Coturnix japonica: one gene and its partners. The protein of the gene in region 1 interacts with the protein of each later gene in a biochemical or structural test. Links are inferred from orthologs where the notes say so. Each region holds a gene or a part of one and is shown on either strand. Other genes may lie near its edges.

Region 1 (4,878 bases):
AGTCTCTTTAAAGCTTTCCGGAACTGAAAGAGACTTTGTAGCAAGAACTTCATGCTATCATTTCACTAAGTATCTTGGCATACCAAGATCTCCAATTCAGAGGCTTTCCCCAATTCAGAAATGCCATCAGTTCAGTCAGCAGATGCTTATGTCTAGTAGACGTGTTCAGTGGGTTTGACCTCACTCTGCAGCCAAACAACCATCCTGTCTCTTCCCTGTAGGAAGGTGGAGAAAACAGAAGGCAAGACTTTGGAGCTGAGACAGTGACAGTTTAGTGTACAGAAAATATTGTACATGTATAGAACATGAAAAGAGGGATTAATTCATTCACTACCTTACATCAGCAGGCTACTTACTGGGAGGCAAAAAGCTTAACAGTTGTTTTGGAAGACAAACACCACAATCAAAGGTGTCACCCCATTCCTCCTCCTTTCTGCATGACTTAATGCTGAGCATGATGCCAAATGGCACAGAATATCCCTTCAGTCTGTCTGGGTCAGCTGTCTCTGGTCTGTTCTTCCCCAACATCTTGTTCACATCCACTCTACTCACCTGGGGGCAGGAGAAGAGGGATGGAGAGACAGTCTTGGTAGTTCGCACACTGTTCAATGACAGCCAAATCCCTGGTGTGATTTGTTTCAGACACAAATGCAAACAACAGCACTGCACAGGCTGCCACGAGGAAAGTTAGCTCTGTCCCAGGCAGACTCAGTATAACCTTATCCCCTTATTCCATATCATTTGCGCCATTCTTAGGTTCCATGTTATCTAATGCATCTAAATACCCGCTGGACTTTTGTCCCATTCATCAAGGCCATCACTCAGGACAGGGGGAGCAGAATGTTGGATCACTGGGCACCAACACCAGCTTGAGGTGGGTCATTGTATTCACATACTTCCATGTGAAACTCACTCCCTTTTAGTTCAGGTGGTTTCTGCTGTATTACTTCCTGTATTGTACAAGTCAAATTGTGCAACGTATAGATCTCTTTGAGGTACATAACAAATTTGCTCATCCTTCCACACTGACCACCAATTACACTTTGATCTTTGAGCAAAGACAATTCTGCAAGTGGGTCATCCCTTTCCAAAAAGAAACTGTCTTTCTCAACAACTTCCCTACATGCACTGTAGGGACTTTGTGTCCTTTCATTGATTGCAATGCATGTTTCACATCTGCAGGTGGCCTGTGGGATGTTCTCAATCATCAGGTCTACCCCTCAATCACAACCACTTGGCACATTGCATCTCTCCCAATTACTGTCATTATTTCAGATTCCTCACACTTCCACAAGCCATCCAGCTGAGGAGGGGAATGAGAGAATAGATAGGTGGGCATCTAACTGCTGGCCAAGATTAACCCATCACAACCCTATGTTTGGCACCCTACATGGAGTGCACGGGTTTGAATTGGGAACCTCTCGATCTGCAATCAAACACTAACTAGTCATCGTCAGCACATGACAATCCAAACACATTCCTTTAGGACACTACTTATAGCTGAAGAAGGTTCTTGCACAGAGCAAAGATCACCTTCTTGACTGAGTTTTTTTGAGTATAATTATCAGTAGAACAGAATTCAAAGCTGATGAGGAATACATGTGATCTGCACTTCTGCAGGCAAGGACAAGGCAGCTTATCAAGGCATCGAGCATATTCAGTGAAACTTGGTTAAATAAATCATCTTTTAAATCAACCTTTGCCCAATCAAAGTCCAGTCCTACCTATAGGTACAGCTACAGGAGGGACAGCAAGAGAGGATTCCTGCAAAGGCTGCTTCACACAGATATACAGGTAAGTTATTCCTTTTTTTTGCTATATAAAACTGTGTTTTAGGAGTCTGATAATCTTGCATATAAAGTTTTCATGAAGTGAAAAGTTGTTTGCAGCCCACTATGGTCTTCCCTCCATTTCTACATATGAAGAGATAATCTGTCCTGTAAAAGCTTACTGTTCCTTCAGCTTTGTTTACTGCTGGTTTTCTGTAAACATCAGGAGTTAACCAAATTTCCCAGTGTTTGTCGAGAAAAGCTGCTCCGAGTTCTAGTTGAGATCAGTACAATGTCTAAACAATAGTGCAGGACATCCCTATGTGAAGTTATTCTTGATGCCACTATACTTAGACTCCAAAAACCACTAAGTACCTCACCAACGGGAATAAGAAACTCAGAACCCACAGCCTGCCTATCCATACATGCTGAAATGTTCCATCTTCTCCAGCTTCAGTGACATCCCTGCCAACTCCCCACTCCTCACCCATACTTTTCTATAAGCTGACTAACTAACCTTAACAACACAGTTTTAGCTTCCATAACAAATACTCTATATTTTCATGAGTAGCCAGATGTACTTCAGCAGTAGGCTGCTATCAAGAACGTGGAGAGATTTGACCACTGGCTACTTCTAAAAACAAGTAAAAGAAAAGGTCAGTTTTCACACACATAAGTTACGTGAGTGATATACAGAAACAGAAAAAAGAAAGAACTGTAAAGAGTTCATGCAGGCAGATGAAATTTTTTAGTATTTATTAGGCTGAGACTAATGGCCAACCTCTGCAACAGATCTTTGGGCTTTTCACAAACTTCTAACAGGAGCGAGAAAAAAAAACAATCAATCCAGTAAGACACACATCAAGTGTGGTAATTACCTGGATGGAGAAAGTTGCCATCATTTATCTTATTTCTTATGTCATAGTGGATCTTTGGCAGGAGTTCCTAAGACAACAAGATAGCGAACTTTGGAATTGCTCCTTGATCATAACTACTGCTTACTTTCTGAACATAATGTCTCTCTTACTGATAATGAGCTACACGAGACAATTTCATTGTATCATAAAAATATAGAATATTTTAGCTTGGAAGGAACTTCTGGAGCTCATCTGGTCCAATAGCTCATGCTAAACCAAGCCAACTTAGACCAAGTTTATCAGGGTCTCATCCAGGTAAGCACCTCCAAGGATGGAGATTCCACAGCCACTCTAGGTTCTTGTTCAAGTATCTGAAAGCACCAGAGATTAAAAAGCTGACCTTACCTCTCTCTAATTAGACTTCCCCTCACTGCGACCAGTATCTGTTGCCTCTCATCAGTATTAACATCCAAGAATAATAAGGATCTGTGTTTTCTACACCATCCGATTAGGCACTTGAAAATGCAAATAAGAACTTTCATTTACTTTCTTTTCCCAAGACTGAACAAACTCAGCTCTCTCAAACCCTCTTCAAACAAGTTGCGCTCCAAAACCTAACCCACCCCAGTGGATTAGTTTCAGTATGTCAGTGACACAGAGAGCTCAAAACAGCAGTCACGCATAGCCTTACAAGTGCCAAACAGCAGGGAACAATCCCTTCATTGACTTGCTAGATACATTCAGATATAGCCCACTATCCAGTTGATCTTCACTGCAAAGCTACACCAACTGATGTGAAGTTTTGCAGGACAACACGTAAGTGCACAAACTGACCAGCCAGCCTGTGCTGTCGTTATGCATGGTTTAGATATAGATTTTTTTCCACTTTTCTCTGTTAAATGTTTCGATATTTCTGACAGCTCCTCTCTCCAGCCTGTTGAGGTCTCTCTAAATAGCATCCCTAACCACCATCCTATTGACTGCTCCCCTCTGTTTAATATTATCCATCACGTTTGTTGAGGATATATTCTGCTGCACTGACCATGTCATAAATAAAAATGTTAAACAGTATCTATCAGTACCAGTACCAACCCTAAACATTGTCAATAAAAAGCAGCCAACAGCTGGATTAAGTGCCACCAATAAAAACCCTCTGAACCTAATGGCTCAGCCAATCTTCTGCCCACCTACAGAATCTGCTTATTCAGTCCATATGTCAACAAGTCATCCACACTTACTGTACAAGAGACCCTCTCAAAGGTATTGCAATAGTTAAAGAGTACATCGTTCATCGTTCTATGCCTGTCACAGAGCCAGTCCATTCATCTTGGAGTTAGCAGGTAAAAAGGATTCATTTAATCTCCCTTTGCACAGCTGGATTTCCCAGGAACCCAAACCTTAAGGATTCTGAAGCAAACTGTCTCAGCTTGCTTTTTTTTTTTTTTTTTAAACTCACAATTAGTTTTTCCATCCTGTTTCGTAGAGATGACTTCTGTTCTCCAGCCACGAGAGTGCAAAGTGACCAAGAAAAGCAAGAAGAGCTATGGATTTTTCCTGCGTGTGGAGAAAGACACAGCAGGACATCTCATCCGGAATGTGGAAAAGAACAGCCCTGCTGAAAAGGCTGGCTTGAAGGATGGAGACAGAGTCCTCAGGGTTAATGGTGTGTTTGTAGACAAGGAGGAACATGCAAAGGTACAAATCTGTTTAGTCTGGAGGCTACATCACCTCCCATGATCCAGACCCGCTGTCACTATTGGAAGCTTTCTCTTCCATTTCTATGGTGGAAAAGTCCGAGAGCTGAGTCAACAGCTCTGGATACCTCTCTGCATCATTTATTATCCATCATGGGTAGGAAATGTTTTTGAGGTGCCTCCATAGTGCATCAGCAGAAGGATGTGACAACAAAACCAATAGAGAGTTTAATCCTTCCTGGAGAAAGCTTTTAGGTCAATCACTCTGCTTGAGCAATTCACCTTTGATTTCACCTTGTCCATTACAGGTGGTGGAGATTGTGAAGAACAGTGGAAATTCTGTTGTATTTCTTGTTCTGGATGAAGCATCTTATAAAAAGGCAGAAAAGGAGGGAGCGAATCTGGAAGAGTTGGGTCAAAAGGTGTCAAAAGGAAAGAAGGAGAAAAAGGAGGAGAAGCAGTCCACACTGCCCATGGCTAATGGAGCAATCACTGCCGTTCCACAACCACGACTCTGCTACTTAGTAAAGGAGGAGAAGGGGTATGGCTTCTCCCTAA
Region 2 (4,025 bases), on another chromosome or scaffold:
CATTTTGTTCTCCTCCCTCATACTCCTCTACGCATTCCCAGTTGGTTTGCATGCAGAGTAGCTGGAAATCCAGAACAGGAGCTGCATTTTGCAAACAAACATAGAAGGTAAGCGGGATGCCAGCACTGACATCATCGTGTTATCGATGCCATTTAAAACAGGTTGCAATCTGCAGCAGCTGGAGGAGGGATGCAAGCAAACGGCACACCATGTACCAAACAATAAGGGTAAATTATGGACAGCTTCGGAGCTGAATGAATAACTCTCCGCAAGATCTGCTTCAGCTTGCTCCAACGGTAAGTGACATCAGTTTAATTGGCCTCATTTAGCACCAGCCTGGTGGATCTGTGTTATTTAATGCCTTCATCTGCAACTCAGTGCTTGCAGCACAGAGGGGTGCTCCAAGCACAGACAGCAGTGCTGGGCTCACATACTTTCACCGTGGGAATTTCTTACATCGGATTCCTGCACGTGTGAACAAGATGGGCCTAGTAATGGCTCACAGATCAGTTCTGAGAGCTGTGAGGATGGAGTGGAGTTTCTCAGCCTGCTGTGCTCTGTTCTACTTCAGCTTTCTTCACCTTCACCGCCTCTGATCAGCTCACGGCATTCGGGCCTCACAGGGATGGCTTCACGGGACAGAGTGCAGCAGCAGAGCTGTGTGCTGTGCTTTCCCTTGGGCTCATTAAATGATATTTCAGCCACACCTTGATGAAGTCAGCCCTTAGCAATGCACCCTTTGACGTGGTTATTTGTTTTTGTTTTTTTAATAACAAATCGTTTTAAAGAGGTTGAAAACGTGGTACTTTGGATTTCAGTAAAAGCAAGAAGACAACTCCTCCTGCACGAGAAACCCGGCAAACCCAAACAGTGCCGCATGTGTTCTGAGCAGCTGTGCTCACAGTACCTTTCCTCCGAGCATCCACCGAGGCAAAGCGGGGAGGGGTTCGTTACCCGTATTCGAGGAGAGCACCGCGATCAGCCACTCATCTCCAACCGAAGAATCCAAAGGTGTGCGTGGATATACACACGATCCTTCATTCACGTCGCTGCCTGAAGGAAAAGCGCAGGGCGGGGGTGGGTCAGGAAGGGCTTAAGGAAAGGCTCCGCACCGCAGTGGGCTGCCCAGGGCAGCGAGCGCAGCCGAGCGACGGTTCCCCGAGACCAGCTCGGAGCCGCCCCGGAGCCGGGAGGAGCCGCGCCGCCCCCCGCCCCGCCCCGCCGCTCCCGGCCCGGCTCGGGCAGCCGGTGCCCAGCGCGGGGCACGGAGCCGAGCGTTGCCGCGCCCTGCGGGGCTGCTCGCCGGCAGGATGCCGCTCGCACAGCTGGCCGAGCCCTGGCCCAACATGGAGCTGGTGCAGCTGGATACGGAGGTGAGCGGGGTGAGACGGGCGGCGACCCCCAGGGGTCTCGCGGAACAAAGGAGAGCCCGGCCGGCCTGCTCCTTTTCTTCCTTCCCTCCCTTCCTTCCCTCCCTCCCTCCGCTCTTGCCCCGCTGCTCCAACTGAGCCCCGCGGGGTTGGGAAGCGCGGCGGATCGCTGGGAGCTGCCGGCTGCGCTGCTTTCCTTCGGCTCCTCGGTACGAGCTGTGAACGCGAGCACGGCTCTGCTCTGGGAGCTTCCCCCGCCCGCCTCAGCGCTGCCCAGCCGCCGTCCTGCGTCTGTCCGCTGGATGTTGTGCGCTTCGCTCTTAACGAGCCCCCCCAGCCCAGGTGTGCGCTGCCCGCACCGCGCTTCGCACCGCAGCCGCCGCAGCACGTCGGCACCGCTCGCAACCTTTTCCTCGCTGTGGTGCAGCCGAGGTGTGAGCACAAACGGCTCCTCAGCCCGGCTGCAGCTCGCGGCTTTCGGGATGGGTTCGTGCGGGTTTTGTCCCGCTTCGCTCGCTCCCTGCCGCTCTCCCGTTTTAGACCTTCTGCCTCTTACCCCTCCTATCGTGCCGAGGGATGTCACAGTGGTTAACTGGTCAGTTTCGTTTATTCCTACTTAAAATTATCTCTTAAGGAAGCTCTGCTGGGAACGGAGGCCAGGTTGCCCAGCTGTCACAGCCAGATGTGAGGGGTGGGCGGCTGCGCCTCGTGCTGTGCACTCACCTCTGCTTGGGGTGTGGGGATGTGCCTGTGTCCTTCGGGGACTGGGTCGTGGTCCTGAGGCCATAACGTGCTCAGGGAAAGCTGGGTGTGATGGGGGGATGCGATTTGTCTGGAAAACAAACTTGGAGTGGGAGGAAACTAATGCTGGTGCCTGGGGCGATAGATGCCATGGGCAGGATTGGTGTGTCACTTAATCCTGGGGATTCGGGTGCTGGGTGGCAGCTGTGCCAACACCACAAACGTCTCCCCTGGCTGGAAGCAGCCACGGGGGCACCACATTCATCAGCCAAAGTCCCTCAGGAAGATTGTGGCAGCAGCGAGGGCTCCTCTCCCCATTGCATTAGTTGTGGATGTGTACTCTGTAAACTGCAGCTGCAGGCTGCCTTTCCCAGCTCTCCTTGGCAGGGCTGGAGGTTGGCGGCAGGGCTGGGAGCAGAGTGCTGGTGCTGGAAGGCACTTGACACCTCAGCACTGTGCCAGGTGGGACACCAGCAGCTCTGCTCCCTCGGGCTTCAGGTGAGCGATGTGCTCGGTAGCATGGGCACTCTGCACCTCTGGGCGCTGCTGCAGGCACCTGGAGCCGACAATCTGTGAATGGCAGAGAAGGACTTGGTGGAGTTTTGCACGCAGTGAGGTTCTGTTTGCCAGGGGCAGGAAGGTTCACCTTCTGTAGGGCAAGGTGGCACCAAAGAGAGAAACCAAAGAGACTTTTCTGGAATGCGTTACGTAAATCGCCTGGGATCGCTGCCATCGAGGTGTAAAGCCAGCTTCCTCCAACCTTTGCTTTCTGAGTCACGGAGCAGAGGTGCTGGCACTGTGCTGCGGAGGCACCCAACTCATTGTGTCAGGGGGTTTTTCCACTGCTCCCCAGGAGCAGCTGCTGAGCTGGTCACAGCCAGCACCCACTGTCTCAGAGCTGTGCTGAGGAAGCAGTGGGAGGGTGAGCTGTCCTGTGGACTGAGCTCGCTTCATCATGCTTCCTTCTGTTTACAAGGGTGGACAGTGATAGGACAAGGAGGAATGGTTTTAAACTAAGACGGGAGATTTAGGTTGGATCTTAGGAGGAAGTTTTTCCCCAAGAGGGTGGTGACACACTGGAACATGTTGCCCAAGGAGGCTGTGGATGCCCCATCTCTTCAGGCATTCAAGGCCAGGCTGGATGTGGCTCTGGGCAGCCTGGGCTGCTGGTTGGTGACCCTGCACACAGCAGGGGGTTGGAGCTGGATGAGCATTGTGGTCCTTTTCTACCCAGGCCATTCTATGATTTCATTCTATGATTTCATTTATTCCAGTTCTTTTATTTTTATTCCCTGCTCTATTTTTTTCTGCCTATTTGGAATGTTGCTTATGTGGTAGAAAAACCTGTGTGGGGCAGAGCACTAGAGATGGAGCAGAGCTGAATGACTGCATTGCCATAGTGATGGGAGCTGCCATCATGGCTGTGCATGCCTTTAAACTCTTGTTGTCATACACAAACACAGAGCAACACAGATGACATGAGATTACGACAAACCCAACCACTCCAAGCTAATTATTTTGGCCTGTGTGTGTGCATCTGCTCATCCCTTGTTGAGCAGAAGCTATTCAGGAGTAACTGTCTTTCTCTGTGTGCATTTCAGCTTAAAAGTGAAGACAGTGATGATCAAAGGGGAGGAAGCAGAGAGGTTTCTGTCCATGATACACTTTGAGCACTGTCTCCTCTTGCGTGGGGAACTCTGGAGGGAAGAGCTGGAGATGGTTGTTTTTGCAGAGTTCTGTCCTTTCCCCTGTGCCATGGGGTGATGTGTGTTGGCAGCACTGAGAGAAGCGCACAGCCCGCATGGTGCTGCCCGTCCTGACATTTGTCCTCCTTACGTATCAGAGCAGCGGTTCCCTGTTCTGTAAATTGCTCCTCCACATGCTTCAGATTAGGTGGAATTAAAGGGATTTAAA
Region 3 (3,979 bases), about 25 Mb from region 1:
ATACAACTATTCTCTACATTAAATCTTTCAGATTGGTCTTGCCCTTTCACAGACAAAAGCTGCTGCAGAACAAGTTAGCGACTATCTGTCCTACAGCAATGCAGAACTGAGCTAGGGTTCTCAGTTGCCTCCAGTTCAAGTGTGGAAAAGAATTACCTGAATGCTTAGTGAAGGAAAAAATTATCCAGACATGATGTGATGGATACCATAGATGCAGAAGGTCTGAGATAATTTTTTATATATTCAAAAATGTTAATAACTGATTATTTCATTGATGCTTTTTTCCAGCCATCGAAGTGTACTTATATGGTGTGCAACAGATCTTTATAAAACACAGTAGAGTTTTATTAGATTTGCTAACCTAACAGATTTCACAAACAAAACTTCTTAGCTTCATTCCTGATGACTGCATTTCACCATCTTAATTGATCTTTTACATTATTTACAGAGTACTTAGGTTTTGTTTGTATTTGTTCTTCTGGTATGTAGTCAAACATGCAGGCAAATGTTATCCTGCATTTTTAGTGATGCTCACAAAGTTCTTCAGAAGAGCCAGATACGGGCTTCAAATGCTGTGAACTACAAGACAAAACAAGACCATCTTAACCTATAATTGATTCCAGTTCATGTCAGTTCTGACTGAATTCTGTTTGCACAGAAATCTCTGAAATAGTTGTCTAAAGTAAGACTTTAAACAGAAATTGTTTCATAATCCTCCCCAGGAAAAACAATATTGTTCAAATTGATTGAAACATATGAAGGAAAGAAAAAGGGAAAGGAACAAAAGAAACTAAAAAACAAAAAACTCAGAAAAAGACAAAGGCAGTTTATACTGAAATTAAACCTACATTTTGAATTCTTGCTCTGTTTAGTTTTACTACCTTTTTTATTAAGAACAAGCTAAGAGAATACTAGGTGATTCAAGGAGAACTCAATTAAAACCATGTCATGGAATTCCCTCATATCTGCTGCAGATGTGATTAAATAATTAGATCAAGAAAGACCACAGTGTTTTCACTGAGGACATCATTAACTCATTTACTAATTATTACCTTTGACTATCAGGATCACCACACCCTCAGTGGCCACATGCAAAGGCAATTCAGAATAAACAATAATGAAAACGATCACCACTGCCTCCTTTCAATGGCATATATAAAGCTCAGCCAATTATTTCCTTTCCCTCATTTGTTATCTAGTGATAGAGTAAATAAAACTATGTGAAGACTATGATACTGATATTTTAGTTAGAAACAGCAAGGTTACAAGTAGTTTCCATGATATGATTCACATTGAATTATTAGCACCCATGCAAACAGGTAAACTTTGCACTTTTAAAGACAAAGTAGCTTGTAGAAAACCAGGCTATTTTATACTGAAGTGTCCCTAGTAGTAAGAGTGTGGTTATCTGGTATTTTCTATCTGATACTAATATTATCTTAAAGGTTGTATTTTCTAAACAAAGCAAAAGTAAGGTAATAACATTTTCTGTTTGAACAGTTAAATGAGAGTATCTTTGTTCAATGGAAGATATATATGCCTTTTGGTCTAAAAGCATTTACTGTTTGTTCTTGGATTTGGTTTCATTAGGCTTTAGTGAGGTTGGTTGAGTTACAGGTGAGTTCTAGGTTGGATTTATCTGCTGGGTTTGTCCAAATGAAAGTCTTCATAGCTACTGTAGGTGAAAAGAGAAGTAGTTATTTTTTTCTTATGTTATTTATGTTATGTGTCTTGGCTATTTTCATCCTCATTTGGACATCTCTGGCTAAGATTTATTCATTGTTACAATTCTGGTTTTCAGGTTTTTACTAGTTTTAAAAAACATGTATTATAAAATTATTTTAGGGAACAGTGTTTTGCTATGTAGAACCAAGTTTTTCTAGGCTTTGTGTTTAGGTCGGATGCTTTAGAAACAAGACAAGGAAGCAAACTAGAATTTGGAAATAGCATTCAAAGATTTTATTTGGCAGTGGTCTTGGAATCTATCAGTACTGGTTATATACTATTGTGCATCAGTTTGGTGATGTAGGAGTCTTAATAGGTATGAGAAGATAAACTGTAAGTAGTTATATAGACAGATATAAAAATACAGCACAAAAAATGCTGAGACATTGAGGGATCATCTTAAAGAAGTATACCTGACTTACCACTGCTTTGCTACATGCCTGTGCATTTTGTTTGTCTGAAGTACTTCTCATACCTCTTTAGAAGAGTTTCAAAGAGGTGATAGTTAACTTAATGAGCTCTGTGAAATAAAGAAACTGATTTGGGAAATCTGTAAACTTTTCTGTGAATGAGAGGCATAGGGAGCATTATAAAGCACCATAACTTTGGTTCATCAGAACTATTATTTAAGCTAGTGATTGCTTTTACTGGGGAGAGAAATTGTATGAGCTCTTGTCCTGTACAATGTATTGTTACACAATAACTGGTTAGAGAAGCAGTTTTGGTTTATGTTGTTTTCAGATAGCTTTTACTCTTTGCTAATGCATCCAACTTATTTCCTTTTAAAATTTGCTTCTCCAATGTAAATGTAGTAGCATTACTTATTTTTACAATTAACTTATCTGAATTCAGCTAAATATAACAAATCTAATAAATTACTGTTAATGTTTTTTTTTTAAAGAAAAACTCTTGGCTTGCAGTTTTCCAACTCTTGCCTATTTAAAGCTCCAGGTTATTATATCTAAATTATTTTCTTGATTTATTATTTGAATTCTGCTGTAGACGTTGGCTTTCCTGTGTATTTAAACCTTTACCTTTAACATACAAATAGAGTTGTATGTACTGTACTGGACTCAAGTAATTAACAGATAACATAATTTGGGAGAAAAAAGTCTTTTTTGTATATAAATGGATTAATTAAATAGACCATGTTCCTGAATGTTGCTAAGTTCAAAAGTTGAATTGTTGGTATGTCTCTGATTAATTTATTTATTGGAAACTCTTTGATCCTACATGTAATAGCACAAAAGTGACTGGTGCCTACGAAATTGTAGTGGTAAAGTGTGGAATTCAAAGCGAGAGTCTTACCAGTTTGCTAATTACAGTGGAGGAGAACAGAAGTTTACCTTTAACTTAAGCTGTCTTCCTGAGTCCTAGTCAAAGAAGTCAAGCATGCCTGGTGCAGGCAGTGGTGACATTCAAGAGAAGCAGCTTATGACTGATACTGAAAAGGAGAAAAACCTGCTACCTGGTAGAAGAAACCATGCTGGAAACCTGACTCTGCCTGAGAAGAAAGTCCAGGAGGCTATCTGTGTGCTGCTGGTGGAGCTGTGTGAGAGGTTCACATTCTTTGGCATTGTCTGCAATATGATCCTCTTCTGCACTGTCAGACTTGGCTATCGCAACTACCAGGCTGCCATTGTCAATATGTGCTTTGTGGGCACCTCCATGCTGACACCAGTGCTGGCTGGCTGGCTCGCTGAGTGCCTTGTGGGGCGGATCAAGCTAGTGTGCATCTGCATGTTTCTACACTTCCTAGGTAGGTGACACTCAGATGTCCTTTAATGCTATAGTACTTCTGTTATAGAAATGCATTGTTGAACACTGTTTGAAATTCAGTAACTTTCTCCAAGCTCATGGCCAGTTTTGCTCATAACAAATCATTTTTCCTCTACAAAACATTTTGTAGTTTTCTGCCTATGTATTTTTGTATGTATTTTGTAATACGTAGAGCAAGACCAAGAAGCATTTTCATGTGCATCTTATGGATTAGCAGCTATGTGGTCTTCTCTAAACTGGCTTAGCTCTTAAGAATGCAGTTGCTCAGCTATTTCTTAGACTTGGTCCCTTTAACATGCATTTGTTGTTGCTAGTGTTTAGGGCACATGTGATGTTTTAGACAGAGTTTGATAAAGAGAGTGGAGATAACTTCCCAGCTGTTGGTAGCATGTGAAGACATGACTGTTGTAGCTGAATAACTGGGAAAGATGCACTTAAGAACACACCAGTATAGACAAACATTGCAATGAGTAGG
Region 4 (4,085 bases), about 68 Mb from region 1:
ACAGGCCCCAGTTCTGGCAGGAGGGAGGGAGGGAGCACTGTACCAGCAATCATGATAGGACTCACAGTGTCAGTGTTGTGGGAGAGAGGAGCAGTCCCAGGACCAAGAAATCGACATCATTTTAGAGGGAATAGGAAAACAGTAAAAACAACAAACAAACAATCAAAAGAAACCACACAAAACCAAAACCACACAACAGCAACAACCAAATCACAGAGGATTCAACAAAACTTCTGTAAGGTTGGAGGAGCTGGATGCACTGGACATACATGTGTAGGAAATATCAAACTGAATAGACAGATGAGAGGCCAATAAGTAATCAGGACCAGATGACATTTGTATGAGTACCCCAAAGGCTCTCAGACTTGGACTGCTGTCCAAGGCACATAACCCACCATTATAATCATGTGCCATTCCAGGGGACCACTGCATCACTAGGGCAGCTCTTCATCTACAAGAACAGCGTGGGAGAGAAGCCTGGGGGCTGTGAGTCAGCAGTCCTGATGCCTGGGAGCCTACTGACCCCCAAGACCGATTTCCATATATATGAGAGCTGCTCCAAAAGTAATGCCTCCTGTTTTACTGTTTTGGCCCATGACATTAGAGTCAGAAGGCAATGGTATGGCAGTAGATGTGGAACCTACCCAACAACATCCTGTTACATTTTGTTGGCAGATGGCATCAGAGGGACAATCTGACAAAATGGTGTCTGACAAGGACGTGTGTTTGAAGCAAAGGAGTGTCACAGAGCTCTTCCATGAGGAAAAAATTACACCCACTGACATTCATTGATGCCATGCTGGAAAGCTGGCAGATGAGCATTTTAGTAGAAGGTGATAAATGCTGGAGCAAATAACCTAAACCATGCTTACATGATACAGAACTTGAAACTGTTACTGTGAGGAAAGGGCATTTGGCATCAGTGATAGACCCATCATCGACTGTTTGCCAAAGTCATTTCTGCATAAGCTGCAGCGGAAGCAACAAGAATTTCAAGAAAATGAGTCACATCACCAAGAAGTCTGGGTCAGCTGGTATAAAATCACCTTGTATAAAACCTTCCTGCATTCCCCCAGTGAATGTGCCATGCAGTTCTGCTCTCTGCACCCCCCAAAAAAAGACATTATAGAGTTAGGGAAGAGGCAGAGAGGGGTGAGTGAAATCAGCAAGGTGACGGAGCAAGGACTCAAAAGTATGGGTAAATTCAGCATAGACAGGATAGACATGCAGTCAAGCTTTACAGGTTCCTGAAGGAGGTGGATAGTGTGAATGTACCACTACTGATGTGTTCCCACATGGGGTGCTCATCAGGGCTGTTGGGAGTCTATGGTCAGGCAGATAGAAGAGGGCTGTTTTCTGTGTCATCTCCTCTCACTGGGGGAGGTGAGCTGGAAGAGGCTGCTGCTAAAAGTGTAAAAGGGAAACTCTCCATTTCCAGACTGAGAAGTTTCTCACATCCGCTACTTTGAAACCCTGAGATCTCTATAACACAGAGAACATATTTTCGGTGAGGTGTTCTGCACATGCAGTGATAAATAAAGGTATCAGAATGTTCATTCAAAATACATGTCTTTTTTGCCCTAAGAGATTAAATATATTGATCCGTTTGTATGTCAGGAAAAGGAGGTGCTCCGTGCATCTATCACAACAGTCCTCTGTCAGAAGAAGGCTTCTGCCACAACAATCCCATACTCATAATATTAAGGCAGTCATGGCATTGCTGCTATGTTTGGGATTGCTTGCATCTGCCTCTGTATCTCGAGAAAACCAAAAGTTTTGACATGTCTCAAAGTTCCCATTAGCTTTCCTTCTGCTGTCTTCGTGTTGTGTTTTAAGGAGTAGCGTTACCAAGAATAAATGTAGCAGAATGCAGTATTTGGAATTAACAGTGAATTACATCCACCAAAACATGCAGTGCTTTATTAACCTCGCTGCATGCACAATATTACAGATAAATAAATTCAGACTCTAACTCCTAGCCTCTTTAATTTTAAGTTTGCCATTGACCACATATTTTTGTCATCTCGTTAAAAGCCAGCACTCACTTAATCAGACCCACTACTTGACTGTCATCTTCCATCTGGAAGCACTGCAAGTTACATAAATCCACCCTTTCTGCCAAAGAAAATTCTCAAGCCCAACTTTGTCATAGAGAAATTTAGTTAACGATCACAGCTTCTATCATATGCAAAGCTTACCGCAAGCAATATATAAGCAGATTGTATTTTCTTCACTGCAGCTATTCTATCTATGTCAGAAAAAGCAGGCAAGCCTTGTCTTACCTCAGCTGGTGTGCCTTCTGGTGTGCTCGGTCTCCTTCTTCTGCCCACTGTTGCTTACCACTTTCAGTTTTGTTGCTGGAAATCAGAAGCACAAAAACTTGAAGCAAAACCCGAATGCTGTTTACGCAGAAGCCACACAAGAGCAAACAGTAGTAAGAAAAGGAAGTAGGTCCTGATTAGTAGATCTTACGTTTTCTTAAGAGAGAAATGTTCTCAGCTCAAGGAGGGCTGCTAGCAATCGCACGGCAGTGTCGCATGCGCTTTGGCCCAACAAAAAGGGCCCTGCAGCTAATGTAGCATCTGGAAACTGTCTGGATTCCTGTGTTTGGGCCGCACTTAAATATCTGCACTCTCAGTAACTGGCATTGCTTGATTTCTTAGGATAGGTTCCCGTATGTCATTCACATGGATCACTGTAATTGGAGTCTGTGGAATTACGAAGCATTATTTCCCAGGCTTCTCGTGCAGAAATGAGTGAAACCATAAGCATGCTTCTAGGGGTTAATGAGTAACCATATTCAGCACAAGCAATTCAAGGATGAGTTTGTGGAGCCAAGGGACTGCTTTTTTTTTTTTTGACCGCTGATAGGGAGTAAATACGTTGCTATTTTAGGCCATAACAAGAAGCTGCAGTGAACGCCTTACTGCAACAGTGATCACAGGATCATAGAATCATAGAATTGCTCAGGTTGGAAGAGACCTTAAGATCATCAAGTCCAAACACAACCTGACCATACTACCCTAACTCTAACAACCCTCCACTAAATCATGTCCCTGAGCACCACATCCAAACACAGATGGCACAGATGAGTGCTCCTAGTTTACTGCAGTTGTGAAATAGGGTTCTATACACACGGCAGATGTAACTGTTTATTCTTCTGTTCTGTCAACACACACGGGAGGACCAGATGTATCTCTAGGTGCTGTGTTTCATTTCATAAACATCAGGAAATACCTCTGTGCTGTGCAGTGACAGAGCACTGGCACAGGCTGCCCAGTGATGTGGGATCTCCTCCTTGGGGATCTTCCAGATCTGCGTGAATGCAGCCCTAGGCACCCTGCTCTGGGTGTCCCTGCTGGGGCAGGGGCTGGAGCAGAGGGACCCAGAGGGCCCTGCCAGCCTCAGCTGTGCTGTGATAGCTGGCAGTAGGTCAGGAATCCTGCTATGTACTACAGTTCAGTAGCTGGAGAGTCTCCCAGCAAACCTCACCACCTACACTTACAGTCGTTTACATCCCAAATTGCTTTGGACAATCCTGTTTGTAATCTCCCCTCTGTTGGCCACCTGCACTTCACTGTCATTTATTGCTAGTGCTCTTCACTTTAGCTGTATACATGGACTACCAAAGAGGTGTAATAGCCCTATTGCTCCCCATGTGGGGCTGGAGTTGCAGCAGGCAGTGGCTGTGTAGGTGAGTGTCACCAGAGCTCACAGATCCCTGCACCAGGGAGGAGGTACATACAGCTTGTAAGCAGTGCTATAAGCTTTTTAAAGCATAGACCTGAAGGAGGACATGGAAAACCAGCTTATAAAGGAACTAGACTAGTAACTTCAGACCTTGCCTGCTCTCGTTGCACTGAGGGCCTTGCATAGTTGTCCTCTTCCAGTTGCTTTGCTTACTGTCCCAGTCCAAAGTCTGCCAGCAAAGTTGCTCAAATGTGTGCTCTCAAACCCTATTTAGCCTTGGAGATATTCACCCCAGACACCTGAAACAGGAGGTCTCAGCTCATTCCCTTTGGATTGAAGCAGAGTAGGAAATGATCCCACAAGTGGCTTGAAGGACAGCTTTCAGTGTCAGAGCC

Evidence for each region.
Region 2: the proteins of PDZK1 (region 1) and RPS6KA1 interact in a test that uses a peptide from one of them, tested with the Homo sapiens proteins (2 studies listed by BioGRID and IntAct). The link is inferred for Coturnix japonica from reciprocal best matches to the Homo sapiens genes PDZK1 and RPS6KA1.
Region 3: the proteins of PDZK1 (region 1) and SLC15A5 interact in a test that uses a peptide from one of them, tested with the Homo sapiens proteins (2 studies listed by IntAct, with this or other methods). The link is inferred for Coturnix japonica from reciprocal best matches to the Homo sapiens genes PDZK1 and SLC15A5.
Region 4: the proteins of PDZK1 (region 1) and CYSLTR2 interact in a test that uses a peptide from one of them, tested with the Homo sapiens proteins (2 studies listed by IntAct, with this or other methods). The link is inferred for Coturnix japonica from reciprocal best matches to the Homo sapiens genes PDZK1 and CYSLTR2.

What each region holds. Positions count from the first base shown.
Region 1 is NC_029516.1:83,006,473-83,011,350, reverse strand, and holds the start of PDZK1 (Na(+)/H(+) exchange regulatory cofactor NHE-RF3), read left to right. Parts: upstream 1-1,614; 5' UTR 1,615-1,794; intron 1,795-4,109; 5' UTR 4,110-4,111; coding exon 4,112-4,321; intron 4,322-4,628; coding exon 4,629-4,878. UniProt on the Homo sapiens protein: A scaffold protein that connects plasma membrane proteins and regulatory components, regulating their surface expression in epithelial cells apical domains.
Region 2 is NC_029538.1:170,207-174,231, reverse strand, and holds the start of RPS6KA1 (ribosomal protein S6 kinase alpha-1), read left to right. Parts: upstream 1-1,225; 5' UTR 1,226-1,310; coding exon 1,311-1,373; intron 1,374-4,025. UniProt on the Homo sapiens protein: Serine/threonine-protein kinase that acts downstream of ERK (MAPK1/ERK2 and MAPK3/ERK1) signaling and mediates mitogenic and stress-induced activation of the transcription factors CREB1, ETV1/ER81 and NR4A1/NUR77, regulates translation through RPS6 and EIF4B phosphorylation, and mediates cellular proliferation, survival, and differentiation by modulating mTOR signaling and repressing pro-apoptotic function of BAD and DAPK1.
Region 3 is NC_029516.1:57,904,811-57,908,789, reverse strand, and holds the start of SLC15A5 (solute carrier family 15 member 5), read left to right. Parts: upstream 1-1,179; 5' UTR 1,180-1,319; intron 1,320-2,967; exon of another isoform or gene 2,968-3,096; 5' UTR 3,097-3,117; coding exon 3,118-3,484; intron 3,485-3,979. UniProt on the Homo sapiens protein: Proton oligopeptide cotransporter.
Region 4 is NC_029516.1:151,145,348-151,149,432, reverse strand, and holds the start of CYSLTR2 (cysteinyl leukotriene receptor 2), read right to left. Parts: upstream 2,801-4,085; 5' UTR 2,473-2,800; intron 2,358-2,472; 5' UTR 2,283-2,357; intron 1-2,282. UniProt on the Homo sapiens protein: Receptor for cysteinyl leukotrienes. The response is mediated via a G-protein that activates a phosphatidylinositol-calcium second messenger system.